Linked DNA regions of Stegostoma tigrinum. The protein of the gene in region 1 purifies or fractionates together with the protein of each later gene. This does not show direct contact. Links are inferred from orthologs where the notes say so. Each region holds a gene or a part of one and is shown on either strand. Other genes may lie near its edges. The genes, in order: pidd1 and ripk1l.

Region 1 (16,510 bases):
CCTGAGATGTGAGCATGAAAAGATCCCAAGACACTAAGTGTGTATGCCCCATGCGTTTAATCAACAGCCATCTTCCTAACAGCAGACAAAAACAGACCATCAGGCCATTTTCACTTCCACTTGGGAAACCTTGTTACATACAAACTAACTACTTTAATACACTGCAGTGACCGACCTTGGCTGTCTGTAGTAGTTAGTGGTGTTGTGGGGATGTGAAAGGCACTTTCTGATCCAACATGGGGCGGCATGGCGGCTCAGTGGTTAGCACTGCAGCCTCACAGCACAAGGGGCTGAGGTTCAATTCCAGCCTTGGGTGGCCGTCTGTGTGGAATTTGCATTCTCCCCAAGTCTGCGTGGGTTTCCACCCACACTCCAAAACATGCAGGCTTGGTGGATTGGCCATGAAAAATTTCCCATCATGTTGAGGGCGGTGTACATTAGGTGGGTTACAGGGGGACGGGGCTGCATGGGATGCTCTAAGAGACAGTGTGGGCTTGTTGGGCCGAAGGGCCTGTTTCCACGCTGTAGGGATTCTGTGATTCTTTAAGAATAATTATGCATGACTAGCAATAAAGCACAATGACATTCAAGGGAAATAAACAAGCAGTGTTGGATGTATGGGTGCACCCATAAACAGGGCAGACAACAAAAGCCATGAATATACCAACTAACAAATAATCTCAGAAGCAAAACTATTGCTTTGCAACAAATGAAACACCAAAAAGTGCTGTCACGATTGTAACAAAGAAAACAAACAAACAGACACCCAAAAATCCTACTAAGCTGTCGATTAAATAAGGCATTCTACATATGCTGGCTGAGGATGCCAAGGGAATTCTCCCAGGTCTGACTATTGCTATAGGATCAGTGCCCACTTGAGGGAACAGATACAGCCTTGGTTGACATCTTGAGAGATGCATTCCATATATTTGTATTTCAGCCACAATAGCATGCTTAATTCTGGGGTTTAATCTACACTTGAATCCAGAATACATCACTATACCAAGGCTGACCATTGTATCTAATTCTCAGTTGACATTTAACAGAAATTAACCCAAATATTTCAACTGTTTATAAACAAGTGAAGCTTGAAGGAGCAACACCAAAGCCCTCCCAGTCTGAAAACCTAACACTTACACTGAGCTTTTGTTGGATCAAAAACTTTGCACCCTTAATTCCAGCATGTCTTCAAGCCCACAGCTGTCAATTTTGCAAACCAGTCTACTACGAGGTGCTGTATCACGTGAGTTTAACTTTCTCCCCACACAAACAGCATTCTCACCAACATCCTCCATCATGGCACAGCAATCAGGTAGGATCATATTTCAAAATTTTAGGTCCTCTCCCACAAAGCCCTCACTCAAAGATCACACTAGATAGCTGGTGCAACTGTGGTAACAATTTCAATCTCACTTCCTGGCTGAAAAGATCCATCTCTTTAGTATTTGTGACAACCAAGACCATGTGACTTCCATTTCATCACCACCTCAGGGCACAACAACAACAAAATTGATTTTGCATTGAATACAGCTCAATTTGGCAATAGTACTGAAAAAAAAAATCAGTTCATCTTGCTATATTCTCCTTAACTTGCACTCTGCTCTTTCTAGAATAAGATCAAGCCCGACAAACCGTACTTTATGCTTTCCTCTAGATTTCCAGCTTTTAAGTGTACTGATCAGTTATGTGAAGAATAACCTATTTTTCACTATTAGTACCCTGACAGAAAATTATGACAGTATGCTTTGGAATAGGGATAAAGTAGTGTGGGGTATGTCCTTTCAGTTGTTGAGTGTTATCTGCATAAAGATGTCATAAATCAAAGCTTTTAGAGCCATACAACACAGAAATACACTCAGTCCTATTTGTCCATGCTGACCAGGCATTATAAACTGATCTACTCCCATTTGCCCATTTTTGGCCCATACTCCTCTAAACTTTTCCTATTCACGTACCCATAAAAATGTTTGTTAAATGTTGTAATTGTACCAGCCTCTTCCATTTCCTCGCAGCTCCTTGCATACACATACAGCCCTCATGAAAGTTACTGTTCACGCCCCTTTCAAATCACTCCCTTGAAGTCCATGGAGCAAAATTCACAACACTGCAATTTCAGATTACGAGCTGAACTATGAGTTCTACCAAATCCTGGCACCTTTACATCCGTAAAAACGCCAGCTTCTGTTAATGTCAGACAACAAGTAAGGCGGCAGAGTGGCTCAGTGGTTAGCACTGCAGCCTCACAGCGCCAGGGACCCGGGTTTGATTCCAGACTCAGCTAACTGTGCGGAGTTTGCACATTCTCCCTGTGTCTGCGTGGGTTTCCTCCGGGTGCTCCGGTTTCCTCCCACAGTCCAAAGGTGTGCAGGTTAGGTGGATCAGCCATGCTAAATTGCCTAGAGTGTTCAGGGGTGTGCGGATTATAGGGGGATGGGATGCTTCAAGGGGCGGTGTGGACTTGTTGGGCCGAAGGGCCTGTTTCCACACTGTAGGTAATCTAATCTAAAAAAAACAAAATCAAGACAATAGAAGGACAAGTAACTTAAGAAATAGCTTATAAAAGGTCAAGAGGTTAAAAAGATGACAGAGTTAAGGCCCTGGCAGCTGTCAAACACAGTCAATGGTGGAATGATGGAAATTGGAGTTTCACAAGCTGTTAGAATTGACAGAACACAAAAATCTTGTTCAGTGTTTGGGCTAGAGGAGGTAGCCGTTAGGGATTGTTCATGCCACAGATCTGAAAACACGAGAATTTTGAGCATTTCCAAAATGAGATGTAAAGGAGATCAAGAGGCACAGCAAGTGACTGGAGAAAATGGATTGGCCACAAGTTGAATTTGAAATGTTACCTTCACTTGAGCCTTAATCAAGTTACAGCAGGGCAAAGAGCCCCTTGGTTCAGTAATGGTGAGATTGCATCTACACTTTCACTAGTGACATTTGTTATGTTATTTTTCACCTCGGTGAAAGTTATGTGCTTACTTAGCAAACCCTCTGGCATTACCTCCACAATGATAATGAATCTACTTTGGTAAGATCCACATGTTAAACAAGGTTACTCACCAGCAGCAATGACATCATCTACATTCTTGCCTTTCAACTCACTGATGACCTGAAATTCAATTAGAATATTAACATTGTTAGAAAAGAGGAAATGCAGCCAATTTCAGCATGCATGTATTCAGAAAGGTACAATACCTTATTCAGTCGCTCATCATCAGCTTCAATGCCAACACTGTCTAAAATCTTCTTGATGTCCTTTGAAGATGGGGAGGCATTTCCACCCAATACAGCAAGGAGGTAAGCTGCGACGTAACGCATTCTAAAAAAGGAAGAATTTAGCTTCAATTATACTTGTGTATAAAAATTCTTGGAAAAAAAAAGTGTTTTGATTCCTGCCAAGAGCACAAACTCCTGATTTCTTTTTCCATTTTGGTTTCCATGGTTTAGCCTTGTTAAAACAAACTTCCATCTATTTGCTAATTCAATTTTTTCTTTTTTTATGCCCTAACTCTCCCTTAGCCAGACAGCACTCAGGCCTAACTCCGTAAACACTAGTTAACCTCGCCATACAGGAAATCATACTGGGCTCATACACATTTCCAGAAACAGGTACTGTGACAAAATTCAGCAATACACAAATAGTTAGTGAGACCTTAGGCATCATCTTTCTTCTCAGAAGAGCACATACTCAACAATTCATGACCAATGTCAGTTTTGCTGTTGGGTCCTCTATATTAAATTCAAAACCACATTAAGGCATCATGAGAGACTTGCACCCAGAACCAATGCCACAAAAATTTGCCCACAAGTCAGCCAGTGCTAAGATGTCACAAAAGCAGGATAAATCCAGACAGATGGGTTAATTTTTCACCTTTAGATATCAAAGCACTGAAGCCTGCTCAAATTGTTTCCTCCTCTCGATTTATACTTATTTACTCAGTGAGCATCAGGCAAAGTTAACCTAATTATCAAGCTACCACTACCAAAAGTAGTTAATACAGGTGAATTGGTGCACAAACCTAAGAAATCTATCAAATAACATCTTTGGGATAAAGCAGAGAATATAATCAGGGATTTGTTTTTAAATTTCATCCGACAAAACAGAGAGAAAGGGCTGTTCAGTTGAGGTGGAAGAGGCACAGGGAGGAAGATGTCAAGCGTAATTAGCCTAACAAGCATTTTCACGTTGCATACGCGGACGTGTAAAATGGTTCTCTAGCAGCGTGTTGAAAAGCGGTTGTAAGATTTGTTGTAAACTACGTTATCTGCTTCATTGCTCTCCAGCCCACAGCTCCGATTTCAAACAGGCATTCAAGTCACTAAGCAATCCATTACGTGTTGGCAGAAGTCAAACTGCTTGTCCATACCCAAGAAATTGTGGACAGAAAGCAGCAAACGTGCGGCTTTACAACTTGAGGAACATCTTGCAATAGCCTCCAACTCAATCTGAACACTTCCAAGCTGCGCTGAACGGAAGACTACTTTACATGAGTGAGCACCTACCGAGGCGAGAGAGAATAGTCTGCAAAGGGGAGGCTGCTACTGGAATGGTGCTTTTGCAGCCAACATTGCCTGGAGCCGGCCCTGTGGAACGCGGGCGCTGCCAACATTCGGAAAGCGAACGCGGCAGCGTCACAATTGAGAAGGCTCACAAGCACGTGGAGGCCGCGCGGCCTTCACTTCCGGCCGAACCCCCTTTGCCCTTCGGTGCTCGGTAGCCCTCCGTCAACGAGGCCAGGGCGGCACCGGCGGCGAGGAGAGAAAGAACACGGCTGCCGCTCGAGCCCCTGGTCCGGTAAAATAAAGGGCGGGGCGGGGGCAAAAACGGGGAAATGCGGCGAACTCACCTGGCGAGCTGGGTGAGGCGCTTGGGAGTGGAGCAGGCCTAGCCTCTGATAACTCCTCACGCACTGGGCGCCGGACTGTAAAAGAGCGAGCCTCGTCCCGACTCTCAGACATAATAAACATGCGCCGGCACGCTCCATTATCATTGGATGCGCTGAGCCAGGGGCGGGCCAATGGGGACAGCTGTGTGAATAACCCTCCATCTCATTGGTCACAAGTTCTGGTAAGCGTTGTAAGGCTGCAGTGAGGATCAGCGTCTGGAATCTGAGATAATGGGAACTGCAGATGCTGGAGAATTCCAAGATAATCAAATGTGAGGCTGGATGAACACAGCAGGCCAAGCAGCATCTCAGGAGCACAAAAGCTGACGTTTCGGGCCTAGACCCTTCATCAGAGAGGGGGATGGGGAGAGGGAACTGGAATAAATAGGGAGAGAGGGGGAGGCGGACCGAAGATGGAGAGTAAAGAAGATAGGTGGAGAGTGAAGGTGGGGAGGTAGGGAGGGGATAGGTCAGTCCAGGGAAGACGTACAGGTCAAGGAGGTGGGATGAGGTTAGTAGGTAGATGGGGGTGCGGCTTGGTGTGGGAGGAAGGGATGGGTGAGAGGAAGAACCGGTTAGGGAGGCAGAGACAGGTTGGACTGGTTTTGGGATGCAGTGGGTGGGGGGGGGGGGGGGGGGGGGGAAGAGCTGGGCTGGTTGTGTGGTGCAGTGGGGGGAGGGGACGAACTAGGCTGGTTTAGGGATGCAGTAGGGGAAGGGGAGATTTTGAAACTGGTGAAGTCCACATTGATACCATATGGCTGCAGGGTTCCCAGGCAGAATATGAGTTGCTGTTCCTGCAACCTTCGGGTGGCATCATTGTGGCAGTGCAGGAGGCCCATGATGGACATGTCATCTAGAGAATGGGAGGGGGAGTGGAAATGGTTTGCGACTGGGAGGTGCAGTTGTTTGTTGCGAACTGAGCGGAGGTGTTCTGCAAAGCGGTCTCCAAGCCTCCGCTTGGTTTCCCCAATGTAGAGGAAGCCGCACCGGGTACAATGGATGCAGTATACCACATTGGCAGATGTGCAGGTGAACCTCTGCTTAATGTGGAATGTCATCTTGGCGATAGGGGTGAGGGAGGTGGTGTGGGGACTAGTGTAGCATTTCCTGCGGTTGCAGGGGAAGTTGCCGGGTGTGGTGGGGTTGGAGGGCAGTGTGGAGTGAACAAGGGAGTCACGGAGAGAGTGGTCTCTCCGGAAAGCAGACAGGGGAGGGGATGGAAAAATGTCTTGGGTGGTGGGGTCAGATTGTAAATGGCGGAAGTGTCAGAGGATGATGCGTTGTATCCGGAGGTTGGTAGGGTGGTGTGTGAGAACGAGGGGGATCCTCTTAGGGCAGTTGTGGCGGGGGCGGGGTGTGAGGGATGTGTTGCGGGAAATACGGGAGACGCGGTCAAGGGCGTTCTCGCTCACTGTGGGGGGAAAGTTGCGGTCCTTAAAGAACTTGGACATCTGGGACGTCTTATCGTGGGAGCAGATGCGGCGGAGGCGGAGGAATTGGGAATAGGGGATGGAATTTTTGCAGGAGGGTGGGTGGGAGAAGGTGTATTCTAGGTAGCTGTGTGAGTCGGTTGGCTTGAAATGGACATCAGTTACAAGCTGGTTGCCCGAGATGGAGACTGAGAGGTCCAGGAAGGTGAGGGATTCCAGCTCCCTCTCCCCATCCCCCTCTCTGATGAAGGGTCTAGGCCCGAAACGTCAGCTTTTGTGCTCCTTAGATGCTGCTTGGCCTGCTGTGTTCATCCAGCCTCACATTTTATTAGCGTCTGGAATCTGTCATTTTAGCAATGGGACTTCAATAAGTTATTGTGAACATGTCCTTGGTGTCTCTCTGGAGGACTGAGAGCAGAAGGATACTTTTGATTTTCCTGTCTCCGTGCAAATAGAAACTTCAGAAGCCTTTCACTGCGGCTGATAGATATAAAAATATTACTACGTTGTCTATGATAGCCACACGTTCAATCTTATACGCAGATCTCTATTAAAACCAATATATCAAACGCATACTGAACGCAAAATACATGAACCTGAATATTTTAACCCGCAAGATTCCTTTTAGGATTGGTAGGAAACCGTTAAAATGTGCAACTTGGCCATTATTCTTAACTTGCTTTCATTGTTTATGACTTGCTATGAAGATTGTCTCAAGAGAAGGATTATGAGCCACAGAGTCTTTCGTCACCTCATCTCTGTGTAGAGGTTTTGCCGACAAAACCAAGTTTGCATCCTGAACAATATGCCTTCCTTATAATTAAACTGCTAACCACATTGATATCCATATTTCAGTCCGACATCTGCAGGTTTATGAAATGTAATCCATGTTATTATAATAGTGGACATTTGTAATATACAACTTACATTGTGATGCAAAGTAACAAAATTTAAATAGCCCTATAGAGTTAATTATGCCCAGAACCATCCTGTCACTATGCCATGAACGTATTTGTTTTATGAAAAGAGTTCACAGAATTACTGTGGAAACATTCCAGATTTCTCATCTGCCAGCTTTAGGAGTACAGTGCTCAAAAGTTCAAAATAATGTACATGGAAACACTAAGTTAAAACATATATATTACACTAATCAAAGTAATATCTTGGAAAATTAGAGATAATGGGAACTGCAGATGCTGGAGAATTCCAAGATAGTAAAATGTGAGGCTGGATGAACACAGCAGGCCAAGCAGCATCTCAGGAGCACAAAAGCTGACGTTTCTGGCCTAGACCCTTCATCAGAGATTAGTTCTTTTCCATCCTCCATACCCACAGCACATGATGGAGTCTTTCCTTGTGCAGGAGTCTTATGTGAGAATTGTGAACTATTCCTGGCACCACAGCTGTTAAACCAGAAATCATGTTTTCATGGGTTAATGGCAAGCCTGCCCTACACATATGCCTAGTAACTTGCTCTAACCATGATTCCACATATCGTATTGCAGAGTCCAATTGATAATAACATGCCTGTAGCTTCCCCCTGGCCAAAGCTATCATGTGCCATCCTCCACAGCTAGTAAAGCAATTCACCAGTCACTCCACAGTAGCAATGATGAACGGTTTGCTCAGGTCCTTGTTAGGTTAAGTACCATGTGACATTCACTTTAGCAGTTTATATACATAAAAGACAGAGTGACTTAACTTCAGGCTAACTGGTAATGTATGGTATTTTCAATTTCTATCCAAATTTCAAGTATCAAGCAAATTTGCATTTTAAAAACATTTTCCTGCAGATTCATGCATTAAAATCAGAAACATCAAGAATAGCTTGTTTGTAATGTCGTAGCCTGTCAGTTGGTTGACAAGTGAGAATGCTGTGAGCACTTTATTACTTAATAATATAAAGCTGAGTCATCTCAATATTTGCTCACTATTGTAACAAACTCAAATAAAACAATCAAATAAAGCTTACTTTCTTAGACTTCAATTTAAATCATGTTGACAAAAACTAAAGGCAAGTGTTCTGCCATTTCACCAGATTAGTTTCAATAGGCATTTGGCTTCTGGATTACAATACTGTAGTACTGTGGGATATCAAATTATATCAAGAGGGAGGCAATGGTCTAATGGTATTATTGCTGCACTGTAAATCCAGAGACCCGGATAACATTCTGGGGACCAAGGTTTAAAACCCGCCATCGCAGATGGTGCAATTAAAAATCTAATGATGACCATGAATCCATGTTGATTGTCAGGAAAAACCCATCTGGCTCACTAGTGTCCTTTCGGGAAGGAAACTGCCAGCCTTACCTAATCTGGCCTACATGTGACTCCAGACCAACAGCAATGTGGTTGACTCGACTGCCCTCTGGGCAATTAGGGATGGGCAATAAGTGCTGCCTAACCATCTTGTGAATGAATAAATAAAAAGCTTATTGCCACAGAAGGCAAGTAGTCTATAAATTCCAGCCACATTAAAGAAAAACTTTTTAGAGTGAATATACAATTGATGGATACGTACAATGATGGATGCAAGTTAAAAAAAAAGTGACTGGTTTCCCATTTAGATCATAACGTCTTGCAAAAAGACACGTCAAGTCTTGAATCTTAAGAGAAGACTCTTTGGAATAGAGACTAACAGTTTCTCTCTCCACAGATGCTGCCAAATATGCTGAGTTTCTCCAGCACTTTGTTTTGATTTCAAGTCTCAACTTGCATAACCAATTGCAAGTATTGCATATGACATTTGTGTTGGAGGGAATGGTGGAGATATTGCCTTTGAACTGTACTTGCTTAACTTGAACACACGAGTTCATTTTCATCTATCAAAATCACTCAATGACAGTGATTTCTCTATTTGGGTCAAATCAAAATTTGTTCTCCCCTCCAACCCACCCCCAAACACACACACACACACGCTCCTTTGCAAACTAAAGGTTGGCTTTCAGATTGTCATTACATCCAAGTGTGGAACATATGGTTTCTGTGCTCAGCTGGCTGTAAAATTGTCTCTGGAAACAAGAATAATGAAGTAAAGTTGAACTTTGAGCATGCTCTCAATGCCAGGTATATGATACTTTGCCTGAATCCCTGGCTGGAGATTTCCCTATCAACTGATGTCACCACAGATTCCAAAGATGGGACGTTTCTAATGTGATTCATGTAGGTGGTCCAAAGAGGTGCCCATGAAGCAGTGATACAAGAACCACTGGTAGACAAAGCTATACATTAGCCAGTGTTAAATTACTATACATGTGTTCAATTTCTGTCAGTTACTAGTACCTTTTGTGTAAAAAGAGCAGCCTGCAAAGGTAACAAAATGTGGAGCTGGATGAACACAGCAGGCCAAACAGCATCTCAGGAGCACAAAAGCTGACGTTTCGGGCCTAGACCCTGCATCTGCACGCCTCACACAATTATGATTCTGCTGCAAATGCCTCCCCCACTTAGAAGTTTGTTAACTTTTGATCGATAAAGTGCCATTCAGTTTAACCCACTCTTGCAGCTGTTGATCCCTAACTCTGTAGCCAGTTACAGAATCTCAAGCGCACATGCAACCTACACAGCAATTTCAGAACGATCGGGTCTAGTTCTCTTACTTGATATACATAAACATAAAAGCGACAGATTTACCAAGAACTCCAGCTCGTTCAGGCGCCATTTGCTAAGCATTTGGCGCGAGAACTCGTGGATCTAGGTTTGAAGGCTCGGTGACGTACCATCTGTTGCTCTGAGAGAGTTCAGGTGGGCAGAGGTCACAGCTCAGACAAGGAAGCGCGACACAGGGAGGGCCAGTGCAACTTTTAAGTTCAACCACCATGACCAGGGGAGTGAGCGCCGAAGCAAAGGTATTCTAGCCGCTGTGGAACGTTTGTATTATCTTAACATTCTAGCGATGGAACGCCGGAAAGTCGTAACATTCTATACTTGGAACTTGGCAACATAGTAACTCCCATTCATTGGGACACTGTCGTGAGGCGGGAAGGCATAAGCCCGCGGGCGCTTCCCAATACTCTGGTGAGACAGCACTGTAACCACATCCCGCAGTCACCCGGACACTGCTTTAACCCAGTCGGAGCCGTTTCATTTCGGAAAAAAAGACTTTGTAAGCAAATCGCCTACTCACCACTGATTCTTCTGCACGGAGTGAACTTATGTTGACGAGGTATCAGGAAAAAGCTTGTACTTTCTTGGCCACGAAACTTTCTATATAGGCCGAATGCCTTTGGTCTGTTTTCGAGAAGTTCGTGACTTTTTTTTTTAAAAGCCTATTCATTCTTAAATAACTGTCATCTTACGCTGATGTATGCGTAACTACTGCAGTGGGGTCTAAAACATTATTGACTTCCGGACATGAAAACACCGACGCTGCTTAAAGGATCGTTATCCCCTGCTTAGAGGAAAGTAAGTGGGTTTTTTGGCATTGGCGGGGAATTAAAGGAGCTGGCTCAGTGTTAACTTGCATTAACATGGCGCCTTTAATGGGGAGAATTCCTTCAGCTTCATGATAAAGCACGAGGAAAGCGAGAGAGATTAGTACGGCCAAAAGAAGCTTGGTCGATGAGATGATCTTTTGACAATGAATGCATTTTCGCTTCGTTTGTGCATTGCGACATTACAAATTGACTACATTTAATCGTGAAGTAATTAATGTAATGTAGCAAATAATTATAATTAAATAAGCAAATGTGGTAACTACATTTAAGGCGCCGGCATCAACCACTAATGAATGTTAAAAGCCAAAAGAACTGCGATATTAGTAAATCAGAAATAAATAAAAATTGCGAGGGGGAAAACTCAGCAGGTCTGGTAGCATCTGTGCTAAGAAATCAGAGTTAACGAGGGTCACTCGACGAAACGTTAACTCTAATTTCTCTCCACAAATGCAGCCAGACTTGAGCTTGTGCAGCAATTTCTATTTGTCAATTAATATTCGTTGATGTTGCTGGAGAACTTAACTTTTCCAGAGGTGTCACCTGCTTGAAACTGACCTTCCGACCAGGTATTCGTCCTGTCAGTGACCGCGTCTGTTTCCATCTCGCTAATATCACCCAACTTCGTCCCTTCCTCGATTCATCTGTTACTGAAATCCCTCATCCTCAACTTTTTTTGTTTTTTTAAAAAAAAATCCCGCTTTGGCTATTACAACATACTCCTGACTAGACTCAATAGTCTGAGTTCGGCCCAAACTGGGGATGACTGGTAGTCACTTCAGCTGAGGGTCACCACGCCCCAAACAAGGAATGGCTGTGAAGACAGCGCCTTCGTGGTAGTGATAATGGGAACTGCAGATGCTGGAGAATCCAAGATAACAAAGTGTGGAGCTGGATGAACTCAGCAGGCCAAGCAGCATCTCAGGAGCACAAAAGCTGACGTTCGGAGATGCTGCTTGGCCTGCTGTGTTCATCCAGTTCCACACTTTGTTGCCTTCGTGGTAGTCTCGGTGTGAGAATTGAACCTGTGCTCTTGGCATCCCTGCATTGCAGGCCAGTAAACCAAGCTAACTTAAACCCCTCTCTGTCTCCTCCGTGTCTTCAGTTGACTCTGATAGAAGGGCAGCCTAATGTCTTAACAGATAGTAATCTCGTACACCCATTGCACCTGCTATTAACTTAGTGTAAGCAAGTTGTATTTTTTTTAACATGCTGATCTTTGTTATGAACTCACTCTGTGACCGCTTCCCTCCCTAATGCCAAAATCTCTTCCAGCCCCACAGCCCTCCAGGATATCTGCACTCCTCTCTCTGGTTTTGGCTTCTTGATCGTCCCTGATTTTAATTGTTCCACCATTCTTCAGCTGCCAGATCCTAAGTTCTGGAATTTCCTCCTTTTAAGATGTTTCAGAAAACTTATCTCTTTCTCAAAGCTTTAGGTCATTTGCCCTAAAATCAGTTGTGTATCAATGTTTTGGCTTATGAAGAGCCTTGTTGTGCTTTGTTACAAGAAAGGCACCATGTAAACACAACAGTGTGGCACTGAAGGCACACAGCAGGCCAGGCAGCATCAGAGGATTTCAAATGATTTCTGAAGAAGGGTCCTGACCCGAAAGGTCACCTACCTTCTCCAAAGCCGCCTAGCCTGCTGTGTTCCTCCAGCTCCGTGCTGTGTTATTGCTTGACTCCAGCATGTATATATTTAATATACAAGTGTTTGTAAAGTGACAAATAAGGGCTTTGATTTTACAATTCATGGAAAAGCCAGCACCCCTGATAGTGAGATAACAAAGTGTAGAGCTGGATGAACGCAGCAGGCCAAGCAGCATCAGAGGAGCAGGAAAGTTGACGTTTCGGGCCTAGATCCAGCATCTGCAGTTCCTACTACCCCGATAGTGCAGCAGTTTCTCCACATTGCACTGATGCTTCAGCTTTTGATGATGTGCTCAAGTTCTAATGTATCCTTGACTTCCTACTTCAGGAAATGTTCCTTTTTGCTGAACCAAGCTGACAGTTGGGTCTTTTTTTGTGTTTAGTTTCCAGAGAGAAGGTCTGAAGTGGCCAAAGGATCTGCCACCACTGTTAAGGAAATGAAAGAAAATTGCATGCAAATCTTGAACTTAAGCAAGAAGTGTTTGGGCAATGATTTGAGGTTGAAGGAGATACAGAAATAGAGGATGAAACAAGTAGTATTGTTGGTCGGCTGTGTCTGTGGTAATGGTGAGTGGAACAGGCTATGTGCAGAGAATCTGTGACATTTTGAAGATTAGGTAACAATGTGGTGGTTGGGAATTTCAGCAGCTGAGTGACTGAGCTTAGTTCTCTTCCTGCACCAGTTTAACAGATGCCAGTTTCCTATCCCTACTCATCTCTTTTTACCAGGGATATTTTGTTTGTCTGCATTTAATCTCTGAGATGCAGCCTCTCCACATCTTCCTTGAAAGACTGTGTTCTATGTGCTTTTCATCTTTACGGACTGCACGTGTTATGTGTATCTGAGGCTGCAAATCTGCCTACTAGTCAGCTCTGGTTCTGTAATACAAAAATCAGTTGGTTTGCAGTAATGTCTGTTTCGTGAATTGAAATATATTTTACTATTCTAAATAAACTGACCTACGATATAATCAATGCCTGATAATCATTGGTCTATAATCATTAACATAACAGGCCAGACCCCATCCTCTGCCACCCGTCTCTGTTGGGTTAAATGTTCTTTTTCTAAATAGTTTCTCCTTCGAACAAAAACAAAGTTGCTGGAAAAACTCAGCAGGTCTGGCAGCTTCTGCGAAGGAGAAAACAGTTAACGTTTCGGGTCCGGTGATCCTTCCTCAGAAGGGTCCACAGCATCTGCTGTTCTTCTGGTTTTTAATTCCTCCTTTTGAGTACTCTTGCTTTCTCCATTAAAAACGATGCCACTTTGGAAGACCGAATGACTTGCCACTGCGTCTGCCTTTTTCTTGTGGCAATGTGAGACATTTCTTGTTCAATCCTAGTTAGGTCTCTGTCTCCCCTCTCTTTCTAATAGAGTGATTGATGATTGTATTGCTTCTGCTTCATGTTCTTCCCCAAAATGGGAAATTTCATTCTTTACTTCCAAATTTCACCTTTTTCATACTTCTGTCCATCACTAATTCTTCCCATTCTTGTGTTAATTTCAGTGGTTTGGTTGACCAATTATATGCCCACTTAGTTCAACGGTTACCTCAATTACATTTTTTCATATCCCACAGTAAGAACACAATACTGGTCTTATAATAGCCCATCTTTTGATTAGACAATGGTCATGGAGTGCAATACCTGCAGATTCTATCCATGGCTCCCAATATTTTTAGACAATAGGATCAATTCTTCTGCCATCCACAGCTTTTCTAAACCTGTCTTTTATTAACAGAGAACATCTTTCGGCAAAATAGATTTAGGTTCAAAAAAGTGTGTAATGAAATAAACTTGCAAAACATATCAACATTAGTCCATTTTTACAGTTATTCTAGGAAAAGAGAATGGTCAGAAGCAACCTTGTAAATTGATGGGGCGACATTGTAAATGAAAACATCAAATGACAGGAGTGTCAAATAATGGATATTACATGTTCATTTTCCAGATGTGCCAGAGATTACAGGTTTCTGACACCACCTCCTACTGTCCCTTGATCATGATCCCACCACCTGACCACCAAAACATCATCTCCCAAACCATCAACAACCTCATCACTTCAGGTGACCTCCCATCCACAGCCTCCAACTTCATTGTTCCCCAACCCCTCACCGCCCGCTTCTATCTCCATCCCAAAATCCACAAACCTGACTGCCATGGTTGACCCATTGCCTCTGCCTGTTCCTGCCCCGCCGAACTTACTTCGACTCCATTTTCTCCCCCTTGGTCCAGGAACTCCCCACCTACATCCATGACACCACTCTCACTCTCCACCTCCTCCAAAACTTCCGACTTCCCTGGTCCCCAACACCTAATCTTTACCATAGACGTCCAGTCCCTATATACTTGTGTTCATCATGGAGATGGCCTAAAGGCCCTCTGCTACTTCCTGTCCCACAGGCCCGACCAGTCACCCTCCACTGACACCCTCATTGGCTTAGCTGAACCCGTCTTCACCCTTAACAACTTCTCCTTCAATTCCTCCCACTTCGTACAGACAAAGGGGGTGGCCATGGGTACCCGCATGGGCCCAAGCTATGCCTGCCTCTTTGTCAGTTACGTGGTGCAATCCCTCTTCTATACTGGCCCTAAACCCCACCTCTTCCTCTGTTCCATCGATTGAATATATCGGTGCCACCTCGTGCTCCCATGAGGAGCTCAAGCGGTTCATCCACTTCACCGTCACCTTCCACCCCAACCTTAAGTTCACCTGGACCATCTCTGATACCTCTGCCTTCTTCCTGGATCTGTCTGTTTTCATCTCTGGCAACCACCTAGAAACTGATATCCATTTCAAGTCTACCGACTCCCAAGGCTACCTAGAATACACCTCCTCTCACCCAGCTTCCTGCAAAAATGCCATCCCCTATTCCCAATTCCTTTGCCTCCGCTGCATCTGTCCTGAGATGAGGCATTCCACTCCTGGATGCCCCAGATATTCTTGTTTTTCAAGGACTGCAACTTCCCCTCCACAGTGGTTGAAAATGCCCTCGACTGTTTCTCTCACATTTCTCACAACTCATCCCTCACATCCCCTCCCCGCAATAACAACTAAAACAGAATCCTCCTTGTCCTCATGTACCATCCCACCAACCTCTAGATCCAATGCATCATCTGTTGGCACTTCTGCCATCTGCAGTCTGACCTCACTATCGAAGACATTTTTCCCTCCCCACTCTTTTGTCTTCCTTCTGCAGGGACCACTCTCTCCATGACTCCCTTGTCTGCTCCACACTCCCCACCACCCCCGGCACACTTCCCTGCAACCGGAGGAAGTGCTACACCTGCCCCTGCCCCTCACCCCCATCTCAGGCCCCCAAGAAGATGTTCATTTGCACATCTGCTAATGTGGCATACTGTATCAGCTGTTCTCGATTGAGGTCTCCTCTGCATCAGGGAATTGCGAACAAGGAATCCTCAGAGGCTTGGAGACCGCTTTGCGGAACACCTACGCTTGGTTGGTGACAAACGACTGCACCTCCCAGTTGCGAGCCATTTCAAAACCCCCCCCCACCCCCAACTCCTTAGAAGACATGTCCATCCTGGGCCTCCTGCAGTGCCACAATGATGCCACCTGAAGGTTGCAAGAACAGCACCTCCTATTTCGCTTGGGAACCCTGCAGCCCAATGGTATCAATGTGGGTTTCACAAGCTTCAAAATCTCCCCTCCCCCACTGCATCCCAAAACCAGCCCAGCTCGTCCCTGCCTTCCTAACCTGTCTGTCCTTCCACCCGCCTCAAGCCCCACCTTCTATCTACCAGTCTCATTCCCCCACCTTGACCTGTCCATCCTCCCTGGACTGACCTATCCCGTCCCTAACTCCCCATCTACACTCGCCTTTACTGGCTCCACCCCCACCTCTTTGACCTGTCTGTCTCCTCTCCACCTATCTTCTCCTTTTATCCATTTTCCATCTGCCTCCCAAACTCACCCTGTTTTATTTCCGAATCCCTTTTCCCCTCCCCCATTTCTAAGAAAGGGTCCAGACCCAAAACATCAGCTTTCCTGCTCCTCTGATGCTGCTTGGCCTGCTGTGTTCATCCAGCTCTACACCTTGTTATCTCAGATTTCAGACAGCAGTTGTTTCCTTCTCCAAAGCTGC
Region 2 (15,998 bases), on another chromosome or scaffold:
CTTTGACCATCATGAATAAGAAACAATCTAACAACCACCTTCGGCATCCAACAGTTTCACCATCGCTGAATCCTCCACTATCAACCTCCTGGGGGTTACCATTGACCAAAAACTCAATTGGACTTACTACATAAACACAATGGCTGCAAGAGCAGGTCAGAAGTTAAGAACACTGCAGCAAGTAACTCACCTCCTGACTCCTCAAAATCTGCCCACCATCTACAAGGCACAATTCTAGAGTATTCCTTACTACTTGGATGAATGCAGCCCCTACAACACTTAAGAAGCTTGATATCACTTGATTGGCACAAAATCCACAAACATTCATTCCCTCCATCACCAACGCTCAGTAGCAGCAGCGTGTACTATCTACAAGATTCACTGCAGAAATTCACCAAAGCTGCTCAGACAGCAACTTCCAAACTTCCAAACCACTTCCATCTCGAAGGACAAGGAGAGCAGACATATGAGAAAACCACCACCTTCAAGTTCCCCTCCAAGCCACTCACCATCCTGACTTGGAAATATATCACCATTCCTTTGCTGTCACTGGATCAGAATTCTGGAATTCCCTCCCTAATGGCATTGTGGGTCAACCCACAGCATGTGGACTGCAGCAGTTCAAGGAAGCAGATCACCACCACCTTCTCAAGGACAACGAAGGACAAGCAATAAATGCAGGCTAGCCAATGACACCAAGATCCTACAAATGAATAAAGAAAATATATATAGGAGGTCTTCAAAGAAGTACCGTGCTGTGGATAAAGGAAACTAGTGGATGTGCTGTCCAATCAGCTTGCCAACTATCAGCAATATGCTTTCATTCAATATGAATGTCAATTTTCCCCTTAAATTGGTAAGCCTGTGAATCATCCTGAAGAGTGCAAGACAAAAGATTTTTTTAAAAATGTCTTTTTTTCGGTCATGCTCGAGTTCTGTACAAATGACTATTTCATACCAGAGTAGATATTTCCTAAATCAACCTGTTCATAGATTTTATTACATGCCACTGGAAGTAACGGCGGGGGGGGGGGGGGGTGGGAATTTGAACCTGGGCCTCCTGACTCAGAGGTAAGGGCACTACTGCTGCACCACAAAAAGCTTTTTCCTACATTGAAGTGACTGGCCTGAACCCCCAATTGGTCATCAAAACGGCGAACGCACGTACGCAGGTTACATCAGTTGGCTGTGATAGACACCAGGATACATGTGCACTCTTTCCCACTCTCACCCCTCCTCATCAATTTGATTCAGTTTCAGCCCATGGTTCCTGATGAGAGTTGTCGTCTCAGATCTGCACAATGGTGTTTGGTTCTCTGAAGTCAGAAGTTTGAGTTGCTCGAATGCAAAGATGGCTGCACACAGTGAAACATGGAAAGAGGAGTTCCCACTCCTGGCACTGCTGAAATACAAAGAAAGGAGCTGACTGCTGGATTGGTGTTGTATTGCTTCCTATTCCTGTACACACATCTGTCACTTCCAAATGATTGGAGCTTTCTCTTTGCACATGTATGCTCCTTACGCCACCTAGATGTGGTGTTAATACATTTCACAGTAATTTCGGATATTTTTAACTCAACACGTCACCTCTGGAGCAGGTGAAACTTAAACCAAGAGTTTCTAGCCCAGATATGGGGACATTACCTCTGTGCCACAAAGGCCCTCATAGCAATTATATACAGGTGCTTTGAATTATGATTTTATCCACACTATCAGATATTGCAATTTTTATTCCATTTAAAGAGGAAGGAATTTAAGCGTGACATAAGAATCAATTTTCTTTCTAATTTAACACATCTTTCCTCCACCAGTAAACCACAATAATCCTTTATTTGGAGAAAAGGAGTACATTTTCTACATGGAGGTTCAAATCTGGCCAGGATTGACAGCACTACAATTAAAATTGTGCATGTTATTTCCAAACACTGCCCTCTCCCAACTACCTATTTCTAGAGGTCCATTCGTTCTGGAAAAGGTGTGCAATTAAATACGGGCTATTCTAGTTAATTTCAATCATCTTCATTTCACAATTGACAGGTTTAAATAAAAATCCATTTAGGTGATGCACTCCAAGCTAACATCTCAATTCAATTCTCCTACTCCAAATACCACCATTGACAGTGACACTCACCCCTCCAGTTCAGAGTGACGTTCTTCCTCCCCCATTTCTTGCTTTACAAAGCCTTCTCTTTTGATACCCATTGTAGTCGGGAACAGTATTGTCCCTTCAACCACTGTCCTGTCACACAGGCCTTTTTTACTGTCCAGCAACTTGCCCCAGTTCACAGTGGCATTATGCTTCCACAGCAGCACTGCTCTCTCTCTTAACCCTTGCAGTGTGAAGCAGTGGACTGCCTCCTACACCCTTCCTTCATCCACAGAGACAGTCACTTTTTCTGGTTTTCCATTTACAATAGCCCTGTCTCCCTCCCAGATCTCCCAGTTTAAATAAGTACTTTATTTTTACAAACTCCTTCCAGGAATTCTCCGTCTCTAACTCCCCATAATAAAGGCACTGTTCTATCTGATAATCTCTGGTAACCTTGGTCAAAAAGGGACAACCATCACCACTCTACTCACAGTCTATGCTGTTTCGATTTTAAAATTCTCATCCTTCTCTTCAAATCCCTGCAGGACCTTGCAGTTCCATAAATTCACCTATCAGAGAGTCCAACTGGAAAGGAGCACACTGTAGAAGAGAATGCGATCTCTGGCATAAACCTCTGGATTTCAGCATTTAGCTGCACACATTGTAGCCAAATTTACCTGTAGTTTACTGCTCTTACAAGCCTCTGATTTATTATAGCATAACCCAGACCATCAATTTGTGAAGAAGGGTCTAGGCCTGAAACGTCAGCTTTCCTGCTCCTCTGATGCTGTTTGGCCTGCTGTGTTCATCCAGATCTACATCTTGTTATTCCATCAATTTGTAACTTTTGCCTGTGAAGTCTGTTTCTGGTTGAAGGCTGACAATATCAGTTTCAGTTTCATTTCCATTTCCAGTAAAGTGAAACAATGGAGACATTCTGTGAATTTGAACTCAGTCAGTTACGAACAATTAAAACCAGACCCCATGTTTTAGCCAAATAGGAGATTTAGCAGAGACCGCAAACTCACAGAGCTACTAAAGAATGCCCAGCAGTAAGAAATCCATGGAAAGAATTTAATTAGATTGAGAAGTTATAGCCTCAAATATTGACTCATCCTAGGACAGCTGTTTAACATTTGTGCAGAAGACTTGGTTATCTGCAATTGTTTTCACTTTGATTCCCAGTTCTTGACTGAAGGCTTGCAGGAATCATTCTTGTTAAAACTAAAGTTATTGCAAATAATTGAACAAGGTGATATGAAAACATACAGATTCTTACAACATCAGAATAGAAGCAAGGTTTAAAATGTGAGTGAATAAAATAGATACTTCAGAATTTTGAGAGACCTGAACAGCCATTAACACTTCGAGCTCAAATCACACTAGTGTAAATGTAATCACAAATAAATGTGCAGTAGCTATCAACAAAGGTGATCGTTGTACATTTAATTTCCGTGAAAAGCAAAACATGCTTTTGGATCCTGGGATCTTGATGTATTCCTAATTATTTAATGAAAATCAGAACTCAAACAAGTGCTCAAGTTTACTTGAGAGAGTGTACTTGTATTAAGATCTTGTGGAAGTGTTATTATAAGTAACATCGATGGTGGCAAGTTCAGTAATTAATTAATTTATGCGTAAAAACATATCTGGAAGTTCAATGATGCTCCCCGATTGATAATGGCAATCCACTAGTGTTCATTAGCTGATGTTGTCTGGGTCCAACTTTCTTCACAAGAGAAGTGAATCCTTTCCCTAGTAGCTGATAAATTCCCCGCATATGAATATTATAAATTATCTCTCTATTTTGATGTGGTCTGTAAAATAATTTGCAATAATGGGAGGAATTACTAAAGAGAAATGCATGTTATGAACTGGGGAGGCAATGGCCCAGTGGCATTGTTGCTTGACTATTTTGTTATTGCTTGACTATTAATCTAGAGACCCAAGTAATATTCTGGGACATGGGCTCGAATCCTGCCATGGTGGAAACTGAATTCAATTTCAAAAGAAATTTGGAACTAATAGTCTAATGCTAATCATGAATCCATTACTTATTGTTCAAAAAACCCAACTGGTTCACCAACACCCTTTAGGGAAGAAACTGCCCTCCTTAACTAGTCTACATGTGATTCTGACCTACAGCACTCTTGATTCACTTTTAACCACCCTCTGGGGCAACTAGGGATGAGCAATAAATGCTGGCCTAGTCAGTGATGCCCATGGGCCATAAATTAAAAGAACAGAATTAACCCATTGTATTCAAGAAGTAAGGTTGCAGTCTAAGCTGGACCTATTCTAAGTGTTATCAGGTGACGTCACAGAAACCTTGCAGAATTGAATGAGTATTTTTGGACAGTGGGTGGAAGTTACTGTTCAGACGGGCAGGTCACTTACCCACTTGATTGAGAAACATGTTTGGCATCTGAAAAATCTCCACTCAACAGGATGAATTTACAGCTGGCTGAATTTAAAATGTTGGAGAAGCCAGTGACCATTCACCACATTAAATACATGCAAACTTTTAATACTAAAACTTTGTGGCCCTGCAGGTTGAAATAACTGCACAGCAGCTGCCATCACGTCACCAAGTCAGTCACAGTACAAAGGCCCAGGCCAGCTCTCCAGCCCTTGACTGAGGAGACTCTCTGAATCTTCTGTTTATACCTGTCAGCCAGGGCTCTCTGATTGACCCAGGTTAAGAAGCCTAATCAAGGGTCTGAGTCAATGGATCCATTTGGACCTGGTTCCAATCACTACACAGATACGCATTGTCCTTTTCTTTTCAGATCTAATTTCTGTTTCATGTTACTAATTTTGACATCACTCATCACCATTGACTACTTTTAATTTATTTCTTTGTGCGATTCTGTTTCTCGAGTATTGCCAAATGAAGATACACTTGGTTAAAGCTTTACGCCTTGTAGTTATCAGGACAATTTACAAGAATTGCCAGTCCAAAGAAAACAGCGCTGAGAGGAGAGTTCTGATTGTTTGCCAAGTGGAATCTGATTGGTAGAAGCAATGCCATGGATAACACAGCAGTTAAATGATGACTGACAGCTAATTGCCATGTTTTGCTTAATTTGTTTTTAAAAAGTAGCTTCACTCTGGTCAAGGAACAGCCATGAGTAATAAACCAGAGAAAAGTTGTCACTTATTTTTTTATTTTGCACATGTTCTATTTGCAAAGAACTGGGCCCCGTGATTTAGTTTATGTTGCTTTTAGCACCGTTCTGCGAGCCTGACTGACAATCCTAAGTAGGTTGATAGCATAATTATTCACACATTCAGGATCAGGTAGCAAATGCTGTCCGATTGCAGAATCACTTTTAATATCAGGCTCTGTGTTCTGAGCTTTGCAAGTATGGCCCAGTTCCCAGGAAGGGTCACTGGACTCAAAACGTTAACTCTGATTTCTCTTCACAGATGCTGCCAGACTTGCTGAGCTTTTCCAGAAATTTCTGTTTTTGTTTTTGGTCTCACAGGACGCAGACAGTACCCTGATTGTTGAGAACTTCCACAGGGAACATGTCACTATCAATTGTGCAATTGCAAAATGATGAACCAGTGCTCTGATTTGGACAGTACAAATCTCAGATAGAGTTGGCTGTTCAGGAATTCCTGTACATAGTGTTTGAGAATGATCCTGTTTCACATTAAACACTGATTTTTACCCAACTCCATAAACCTTCACCAATCAAATATATCTTGATCACTCATTTGACCACTGCCTTCTGCATATGTAACCATTTCTGGTCCACTTTTCCCCTGTTGTCTACTATTAACCCTAATGGTAGTCAGGATGTGGGTAAGAAAATAAATCAGGAGATAGAAAAGACATGTAAAAAAGGCACTATTAGACTAATTAAGAAGGACTTCAATATGCAGGTGGGGTAAATTTGAAGGGCTGAATGGCCTCCCCCTGTGCCTATTTTCCATGTCTTTATCCCCAGAACTACAGCTTGTGCCAAACTTGTGTTTGCCGTGTTAGCTGCTGGCATATGGAGCAGGTGTAGCCTAGACAGAGCAAGATGTCATCCAGTGACATGACCATCCCCTTGACCGTTCACAGTTGACAACCGCAACCAGCTGCCTGGCTTTCAGCCTGCATTGAAAGGCAAGACAGGACAGATGTACTGTGAGCCCTGTGGGTCCTGAATGAGGCAGCAATGTGAAAATTGGCAAGGCTAGCCAGAGATGCTGTGACCATACAATTAGGCAAGAGAACGGACATGAATAAAGCAAGCTAAGAACCCTGAGCTGCACCCTGTCCTGATGCAGGAGATGGGTGCCAGTCCCTGTGGACAAAGTGGCCTGGCAGCAGCATCACATTGTAAGGTGTCAGTTAGATCCAAAGTGCCGTAGTGAAGTGTAGAACTGTATTCCAAGTGATTCGGAGATATGGCACAATGATATGGAGAGACTGATGCTTGGCCAATGCCAGTCTCCGTGGATTTGGGATGCATGCAGTCCCTTCTAGTGGGGCATGTCCCGCAAAGCTGGAGAATTCTTATCAGGATTCAGGCCTTGAGAAGACAACAGTAAGCTGCCGCCAGGAGGTACCCATTCTGAATTATGTCAGGATTGTCACCATCCGGTTTCTCTCTGCTGCCTTGGTAAAATGACAAACTGCATGACAAAAAGATTAGGCAAAAAGAGAGAGACATTTAATGCCTGCAACTAGGCTCCTCACATTGCACGAGTGAGCCTCTCACCTAACCAGTGAGACCTAATGCACAAACTCTGAACTCTTCTTAAGTTTGAGAATCTCATGTTTCCATTCTCGCCACATTTTTCTAACTGAGTTGCCATTGTCCACATCATTCAGGGACTGGGAAAATTCTACCCCACAGTTAAATGACCTCTCGTGTTGTAATGAATATATCCTCAATAATAGGAGAGCTCAGCACATCAGTGCAAGAGACAAGGCTGAAGTATTTGCAACAGCCTTTAGACAGAAGTGCCAAGTGGACAATCTATCTCAGCCTTCTCCAGTGGTCTCCAGCATCACAGACGCCAGCCGTCAGCCCATTCAATTCATCCCACGTGATATCAACAAACAAGTGGCAGCAGTGGATACGGCAGGGCCCTGACAACGTTATAGTAATAGTACTGAAGACTTGTGCTCCAGAACTTGCCATAAGATGCTGCTTGGCCTGCTGTGTTCATCCAGCTCCACACTTTCATTATCTTGGATTCTCCAGCATCTGCACTTCCTATTATCTCTGATATCACTGAAAAAGCTGTCCAATACAGCCACAATACTGCCACCTACCAGACAATGTGGAAAATTACACAGGTATGTCCTGTACACAAAAGGCAGGACAAATTCAAACCAGCCAGTTACCGTCCCCTAGGTTTACTCATGATCACCAAAAAAAATGATGGAAGGTGCCATCAACAGTGTTATCAAGCAGCACCTGCTCAACGATGCCCACTTTGGATTCATCCAAAGCTACTCAGCTCCTGACCTCATTACAGCTTGAGTGAAAACATGGGCAAAACAGCTAAACCTCAGCTGTGATGAGAGTGACTGCCCTTGACATTAGGGCAACAATTGATTGAATGCAGCATCAAGGAGCCCTAACAAAACTGGAGTCAGTGGGAATCAGAGGGAAACACTCTGCTGGTTGGAGTCATAATTGACACAAAAGAAGAGGCTATGGTGGTTGAAACTCAGTCATCTCAGCTCCAGGAGCTCCTCAGGATAGTGTCCTTCATCCAACTATCTTCAGCTCCTTCATCAATGACCTTTCCTCCATCATAAAGTCAGAAATAGGGATGTTTGCTATGATCGTGCAATGTTCAGCACCAGTCATGACTCCTCAGATACTGAAGCAGTACATGTCCAAATGCATAATGACATGAACAATATCCAGGCTAAGGCTGAAAAGTGGCAAGTAACATTTGCACCATAAAAATGCCAGGCAATGACCATTTTCCACAATACAGAATCTAACCATCGTCTTTGACAGTCACTGACACGAACATCACTGAATCCCTCACTATCATCATCCTGGGGCTTACCAGAAACTGAACAGGACTAACCATATAAAGTGTGGAGTTGGATGAACACAGCAGGCCAAGCAGCATGATGGAATGGAGTTGGGGTAAGGGATACTTATTGCCATCAGGAACTGTACCTTTGATTCACAGAATTAGAGCATAGGTGACTATTCTTACCAGTCTGTCTGCAGCAGCTGTCTGAATGAACGACTCACTCAGTACCTATATCCCACCTTCTCCCTGGAACCCTGCACACTCATCCTTTTCAGTTAGCTGTCTAATTCCCTGTTGAATGCCTCAACTGAACTTGCATGCAGCACACCCAGACACAGATGTTCCAGAACCTGATCACTCATTCTGTGGAAAAGCATATGGAGCTTTTATTTCTTTCACCAATCACTTTAAATCCCCGCCCTCTCATTTCTGATTCTCTCGCTAGTGGGAATGGTTTCTCCCTCTATTCTGTCCAGACTACTCCTGATCACGGGTAGATTTCCACACCTTGCAATGTTCACTGGAAACCACGTACTGTCCAGGGAGGTTTCAGAAACTAACGGAGTTGGTTCCTCTGCTGCTGACTGTCCTCCATCCCCTAAAGTTGCTTCAGACCCCATGAGGAACCTCAGGGTCACAAACTCCTTTACAGGATACCAATGTGCTGGCTGCAACGCTTTTAACTACAAGGCAGGTCTCAGCGATGGTGTAGCTAGACCTCAATCAGCACTGGGAAGCTATCAGAAGTTTAAGAGTTTTTAAACAACATGGTGCAATTAAGGACAGTGGGCGGGTAAACATCGTCACCGCTCAACTTGAACTATATCGATAACAGGATAATAAAATGTGAGGCTGGATAAACACAGCAGGCCCAGCAGCATCTCAGGAGCACAAAAGCTGACGTTTCGGGCCTAGACCCTTCATCAGAGAGGGGGATGGAGTGAGGATTCTGGGATAAATAGGGAGAGAGGGGGAGGTGGACCGAAGATGGAGAGAAAAGAAGATAGGTGGAGAGGAGAGTATAGGTGGGGAGGTAGGGAGGGGGTAGGTCAGTCCAGGGAAGACGGACAGGTCAAGGAGGTGGGATGAGGTTAGTAGGTAGGAGATGGAGGTGCAGCTTGGGGTGGGAGGAAGGAATGGGTGAGAGGAAGAACAGGTTAGGGAGGCAGAGACAGGTTGGACTGGTTTTGGGATGCAGTGGGTGGAGGGGAAGAGCTGGGCTGGTTGTGTGGTGCAGTGGGGGGAAGGGGACGAATTGGGCTGGTTTTGGGCCACCCGAAGGTTGCAGGAACAGCAACTCATATTCCACTTGGGACCCCTGCAGCCCAATGGTATCAATGTGGACTTCACCAGCTTCAAAATCTCCCCTTCCCCCACTGCATCCCAAAACTAGCCCAGTTCTCTCCATCTTCGGTCCGCCTCCCCCTCTCTCCCTATGTATTCCAGAACCCTCTCCCCATCCCCCTCTCTGATGAAGGGTCTAGGCCCGAAACGTCAGCTTTTGTGCTCCTGAGATGCTGCTGGGCCTGCTGTGTTCATCCAGCTCCACACTTTGTTATCTTGGATTCTCCAGCATCTGCAGTTCCCATTATCACGATATCGATAACATCTGCTTTTACTGGAACTTAAAGGGGGTAAGCATTTCCTGACCAAATGAAAGCTGCAAATGTGTTTCCATGCACTGAAGTCATCTACAGAACTTGCAGACAACCGAGCTAACATGAAATGCACATGCATAGCTTTCTGGTCTTAATGGAACAAAATGTCAAAAAAAATTGAGATACACAGACTCACACGACTTTATAACAACTGCTCGACATTAAGACACGAGGTGCTGCAGCTGATCTTGTTACAGGGTATTTCCCAAATAGGCGGCGCTCGAAGGCTGTTTTGCAACACGGAAGAGGATGTAGGCAGGAAAGAACAACGCGGAAAGAGCAATGTAGCTGATCTCCCTAGGACAGGCCGGGCAGGTAAGGACACCAGGAAGAAGGTGAACAGACTGAGAGCCTATTCCCTACATCCCCCAGGGAGAGGGTTCAGGAGGCTCGAAGCTTTCACTCCGCCCGGGCTGTAAGAGTGATACCGAGAACTGCAGAGATTTCCCTGTAGAAACCCCCTCCCTCACTGTGCCCGCGGCTATTCGGCCCTTCCTGCCGACTCTAGCACTTGGAAAGGTGGCGCCGACGTTCTCTTTCCGCTGAATGTAATGGCGACTTACTGGGCAAGGGACAGTTCGGGCTCCGCGGCCAGTTTCTGTTCTACAGTTCGTGAGATGTTGGGAATCACGACCCTTCCACGCGCACCCCCCCTCCCCCAGCCAAGAACACAACCCCTCTTCCCCAAAAACACTGCTTTTCGCCCAACACAATTCGCTACCCCCTCCAACTCCTTCCTTTCCTCTGCAAACCACAATCTCTCCATTTACCAATCAACTTCTCCCCCTCCTGCCCAAGCACAACTCTTACAACCACCCCTTCCGATTTCCCAAACACAACTTCTTTCCATCCACTCCCCATCAATTCTGTCGACTGAAATCAAACTACGAAGAGACTGGAGATGCGCTGTTTTAACCACCCTCTTGTAGCCCTCTAACTGTGTGAGTTGTTTGTTCACTGACAGTGCGAACAGGTTTTACTTTGATTTGAACCATCTCAGTATTGGCCTAACCTGATCCACTTGCTTCCTCTGAACTTTCAGCAGAGTCAAGTTATGTGATGTTGACTTGTTGTGTAAATGAATATGTTCAAATGTTCTAACTTCAAAATAAAATCGGTAGATTTAGTGTCAGACTTATCATGTGGGCAGAATACTGTGTGCAGTCTCTGCTTGAAGCAGTTAGAGAAGTTGACTGGGTAGATTTCTGGTTTGAAACAAAGAATCATAGAAACAAGGAGTAATAGTAGGCCATTCAGCCCTTTGAACCTTCTGTGCCATTCAGTATGACCACGGCTAATCCTTTATCTCAATGCTATATTCTCACTTTCTCCTCTCGTTTTCGTTAGAGAGAAGGAGGTTAAGAGGTGACTTAATAGAGACATACAAGACGATCAGAGGATTAGATAGGGTGGACAGTGAGAGCCTTTTTCCTTGGATGAGATGGCTAGCACGGGGAGACATAGCTTTAAATTGAGGGTGACAGATATAGGACAGATGTCAGAGGTAGATTCTTTACTCAGAGTGTAGTAAGGGCGTGGAATGCCCTGCCTGCAACAGTAGTAGACTTGCCAGCTTTAAGGCATTTAAATGGTCGTTGGATAAACGTACAGATAATAATGGAATACTGTAGGTTAGATAGGCTTCAGTTTGGTTCCACAGGCCGGCACAACATCGAGGGCCGAAGGGCCCATACTGCGCTGTAATGTTCTATGTTCTCCCTTTAGGTGCCTTTAAAATCGCAATGGAATCCGCCATAGTCTCAGATATACTCAGTCAGTTGGCCGACATAGCTTTCTGCTGGAGGGAGTTCCACGGGTTTTGAGTGAGGAAAGTTTTTCTCACCTCAGGCCTAAATAGCCTATCTTTTATCCTGGGACTCTGTCCACTGGTTCTAGATTCCCCAACTAGGGAAAACCTTCTGCGTGCATCTAACCTGTCCAAGGGAATGAAGGTTGGGCTGCTTTGACCTATATTTATTGGAATCTGAGGTAAATTAAATGCTGAGAGGTCACTTCCTATTTGCATAGAATCTAGAATCAGGAGACACAGTTAAATGATAGGGCTGTCCAGTTATGATGGAGGTTAGGTTAAATTTCTCCTGCTGAAGGTATTTAATGTCAGAAATTCTCTTCCAGAAAGCTTTGGAGGCTGAGACATTGAATAGACTAGCGCCTGGAATTAGAGAGATTTTTCATTGACCAAAGTGTTGGGAGCAGTCAATAAAGTGAAGGCTACAATTGCATCAGTCATGGTCTAATTGAATGGCAGAACAGGCTTCTTGGTAAGTGGCCTACTCCTGATTTCTTATCATGTTAGAAGATCGTGACTTGACGCTTCATTCCAGAAACCTAAGCACATGGTCTAGCTTGATCTTCCAGCGAAAGTACTAAAGCAATGTTAAACTGTCCAAATTGCTTCCTTTTGGGGCAGTGTCAGGCCATAGATGAAAGTGTTTTCTACAGTGTGGCATCAAAGAGACCGAGCAAAACTAGGTTTGGTGGAATTAGACAGAGCATTTTCTACTGGTTGGTATGATACTTTGCAGAGAAGAAGATGGTTGTGATTGTTGGAAGTCAATCATTTCAACTCCAGCATATCTCCACAGGAACCCCTCAGAGTAGTGTTTTCGATCCAGCTTGCTTCATCAATAATCTTTCTCCATCGTAAGCTCAGAAGTGGGAATATTTGCTGATGATAGTGCTGAACATTGCACTGTTCGCGATGCCTCAGGCGCTGAAGCAGTCCATGTTCAAATGCAGTAAGACTTGAACAATAGCCAGGCTTGAGCTGACAAGAGGATAGAAACTTTCGTGCCATTCAAATGCTAGGCAATGACCATCACCAATAAGAAAGAACTTAATGTTGCTGTTTTATATTGAATGGCATTATCATCACTGAATCCCATAATATCAACATTCTGGGGGTTAAAATTGTTCAGAATTTAGACTGGACTAACCATATAAATACTATGGCAACAACAGCAGGTCAGAGGCTAGGATTCCTGTGAGCAATTCAGCACCTAATACTTGAAAGCCTCTCCACCATCTATGAAGGACAAGGTAGGAGTGTGATGGGAGTTCCAGCAGTACTCCAGAAGTTTGGTATAATCCAGGACAAAGCAGCCCAGTTGATTGACACCACATCCACAAATAGTCACTCCCTCCACTACTGACCTTTGGAAGCAGTTTGGAGCATTTATAAGCAATACTGCAGAAATTCACTAAGGCTCCTGAGAAAGACCTTCCAAACCCAGGACCACTAGAAGGACAAGGAACGCCAGCACCTATGAGTTCCCCACCAAACTGCTCATCATCCCAGCTGGAATATATTACCTTTTCTTCAGTGTCACTGGGTCATACTCCTGGAACTGCCTCCCTAACGGCATTGTTAGGTACAGCACGTGGACTGAAGCTGTCTAAAAAGGCAGCTCACCACCACCTTTTCCAGGATAACCCAGAATGGGCAATAAATGCTGGCCCAGCCAATGATACCCACATCCCATGAATGAATTAAGAAGAAAACGATGAGAGGCTCGGAACCAGGGATGAGCAGAGTGGGAATTATGCTGTGACTGTGCAAATTGATGCTTAAAATGCATCACAGAATCACTGACGTGTCACTGCATAGGAGGAGGCCAATCAGCCCATTGTATCTCACTGACTCCCCAAATGAGCTTTTCACTTCGCGCCATCGTTCTGCTTTCTGCCACATACACTTGCACTTTGTTTCTATTCAAATGCCTCGATTGAACCTGCCTGCACCACACTGCCAGGCAGTGAATTCCAGACCCAAACCAAATGTGATGTGAAACTGTACTTTTCTCATATCCTCTTTTGTTACTTTTGCAAATCACTTTAAATGTGGCCTATCCAATCGCCCAGTAGCTCTTTAAAGCATGCTTGTTAGTAAAAAACAGGGCAAAGACTCATCTTCGTGCTGCTCCCATTGTTACATTTCTGTGAAATATCTGTTTGGTTTGTGGGTGGGCACTGCTACAGGAGCTGTTAGCTGCAGAGACCAGGGTGACGGTGCCTGCGCCTGCATTCACTCTGGGCACTAGTCCATTGGGGGGGGGGGAAACCACTAGCCAGTGAGAGTATGCAGTGCAGATTGTCAGAAATCACATCCTGCAAAGATGTTCTATAGCTGAGATGACTCCTTTCCAACAATCATAACCATATTCCTTTATGCCAAGTATGATACCAACCCCCCCAGTAGAAAATTCTCCCTCCAGTTCCACCAAGTCTGGTTTTGCTTGGGCTCCTTGATGCCACATGGTAGGTAACACTCTGATCTAACATTCTTAAGCCTTAAAAGGATTAATTAGGATTGCATTAGAAGGACAATTTGCATAGGGGCATGGCTTACATTCACTTGAGTATAGAAGATGCAGCTCTAATTGTTTAAAATGGTTTGATAAAGTGGAGTAAAATTATTTTCTCTGCTGGGGCAAGTCAACAACAACAGGTATAACCTTAAAATCTGAGCCAGGACCATTCAGAAGGTGACACCAGGAAGGATTTCTTTACTCTCCAAGGGGAGTCGAAATCCGAATCTCTCTCTGATTTTAGGGGAACCTAGGGTTGGCGTAAATCAGCAAAGTCAGGGTGAGTGACATCCGAGCAGCAGAATCTCTGATAAGCCGGGCCTGAAAAGCTGATCCAGAGGGTGGCAATGAACTGAGGGTTATACAAGCAAGAACTTCAGATGGAAGGGAGGGTTTCCAGTCCACATCCTGATAAATCCTCTCCAGCGAAATCACTTGCCTCCTGTAATGTGGATTCCGGAGCTATATGTAATAGGCTACGTACAGTGCACATTTGGGTCAGGCAGTGAGGTGATGTGATAGACACTAAGGATCCAGGGGAACAAGAGCAGTCATCCAAGGTGAAGGTTGAGGAAGAGGAAGCCCTCCTTATGGATGGCAAGGCTCACTGCATTGGGCCCTACAAGGCAGAGAGGACCTGATTGACAGCTGGTTCCAGTGGATCCAAAATGGCTACAGACAATGATCATGGGTTGTTGAGGTCAAGAAACAAGCATTTTGTTCATTTAGTGAGGATGAACTGCCGCCACTATTCATTTGTGCTCGCTTTCGCTGGCTGTCAATTAAAGCTCATGTTTTGTCCAAACATTACCTAGCTGTGGTTTCTTTCCTTGCAGCATAATGATGAAATGTGGGTGATTACTGGGCTTAGGGAAAAGCACATCGGGTGGTGATGGGGGGAGGGTGGCCTACATGCGGGATATACCTATGAACAGGTAAACTGCATGGCCTGTTGTTCAGATGGCAACTAAAGTGAGAGAATGGGATTGTACGGGTAAGAGAGCATCAGCCATGTTGGCTGTGTCATGGGTGATCTGACCTTGTGGTTACTGTACCCTGATGTTGCTAGTGAGAGGCAATGACGGGTTGCCGGCAGGTATGCAGAGGCTTTATAAAGATGGTGCGAGGGACGCTGGTCTTTTGGCAAATATCTGCTGAACGGGAAGTTGTTCTGACTACGGTAAGATGGGACTAGAATTGGCTGTCAGGATGCTGCAGGGGGGTGAGGGGGAGGGGTTGGTGGTAAATAGATAATGAGGTGTGTTCCGTGAGACATCTCACTAGGCCTCATTGTAGCAACCCCTCCAAAAGATCTGGTAGAACTTGCAAAAAATGAGAATATGAGTTTCATCCCTTTTATTTCTATTTCTCCACAGTTGCAACTTGTTCTTCTGATTGTCTATTTCCAGAACCTTCTGTACAGGGGATCCCTAATTTATGAACGTCTGACTTAGACTTGGACTTACAATTACGATCCCATTGTAAGGGTGTAATTTTAAAGACCTGATATATAAACTGCTCCTTTATATTGTCCTGCATCACGTTTGGACTTGCGTACAAAGCAACTTGTGAATGAACTCCAGAACGGAATCCATTGGCAAACCATGGACTGCCTGGACTTTGCTTTGAGGAAAAGAGGAAATTTTTCTTCAGAGAAGGAAATGACAGTTACCAAATAATTTTGTTTTAATCAACCAATAGATTAACAACAACATAGTTATTTAGTGTCTTCAATGTGATCAAATGTATCAAGGCACCTCTTGAAGTAAGCTTTAGCGATCTCACAACTTTTAGAAAGCACTTGGGTGAGCATTTGTAATGTTATAACATTCGAGGCAAGGGCCAGTGCTGGGAAGTGCAGATTTAGAGTGGTTTTTGTTAGTACAGACTCGATGGGCTGAAGGGCCTCCCCTATACTGT

Evidence for each region.
Region 2: the proteins of pidd1 (region 1) and ripk1l purify together in Homo sapiens (affinity purification with western blotting; 3 studies listed by BioGRID and IntAct, with this or other methods). This does not show direct contact. The link is inferred for Stegostoma tigrinum from reciprocal best matches to the Homo sapiens genes PIDD1 and RIPK1.

Annotation. Positions count from the first base shown.
Region 1 is NC_081370.1:5,301,669-5,318,178, forward strand, and holds the start of pidd1 (p53-induced death domain-containing protein 1), read left to right. Parts: upstream 1-10,106; 5' UTR 10,107-10,170; intron 10,171-10,294; exon of another isoform or gene 10,295-11,324; intron 11,325-11,721; exon of another isoform or gene 11,722-12,974; intron 12,975-16,510. Other genes in the region: large ribosomal subunit protein P2-like, read right to left, coding at 3,064-3,112, 3,199-3,321. UniProt on the Homo sapiens protein: Component of the DNA damage/stress response pathway that functions downstream of p53/TP53 and can either promote cell survival or apoptosis.
Region 2 is NC_081355.1:12,789,575-12,805,572, reverse strand, and holds the start of ripk1l (receptor-interacting serine/threonine-protein kinase 1), read left to right. Parts: upstream 1-9,968; 5' UTR 9,969-10,065; intron 10,066-15,998. UniProt on the Homo sapiens protein: Serine-threonine kinase which is a key regulator of TNF-mediated apoptosis, necroptosis and inflammatory pathways.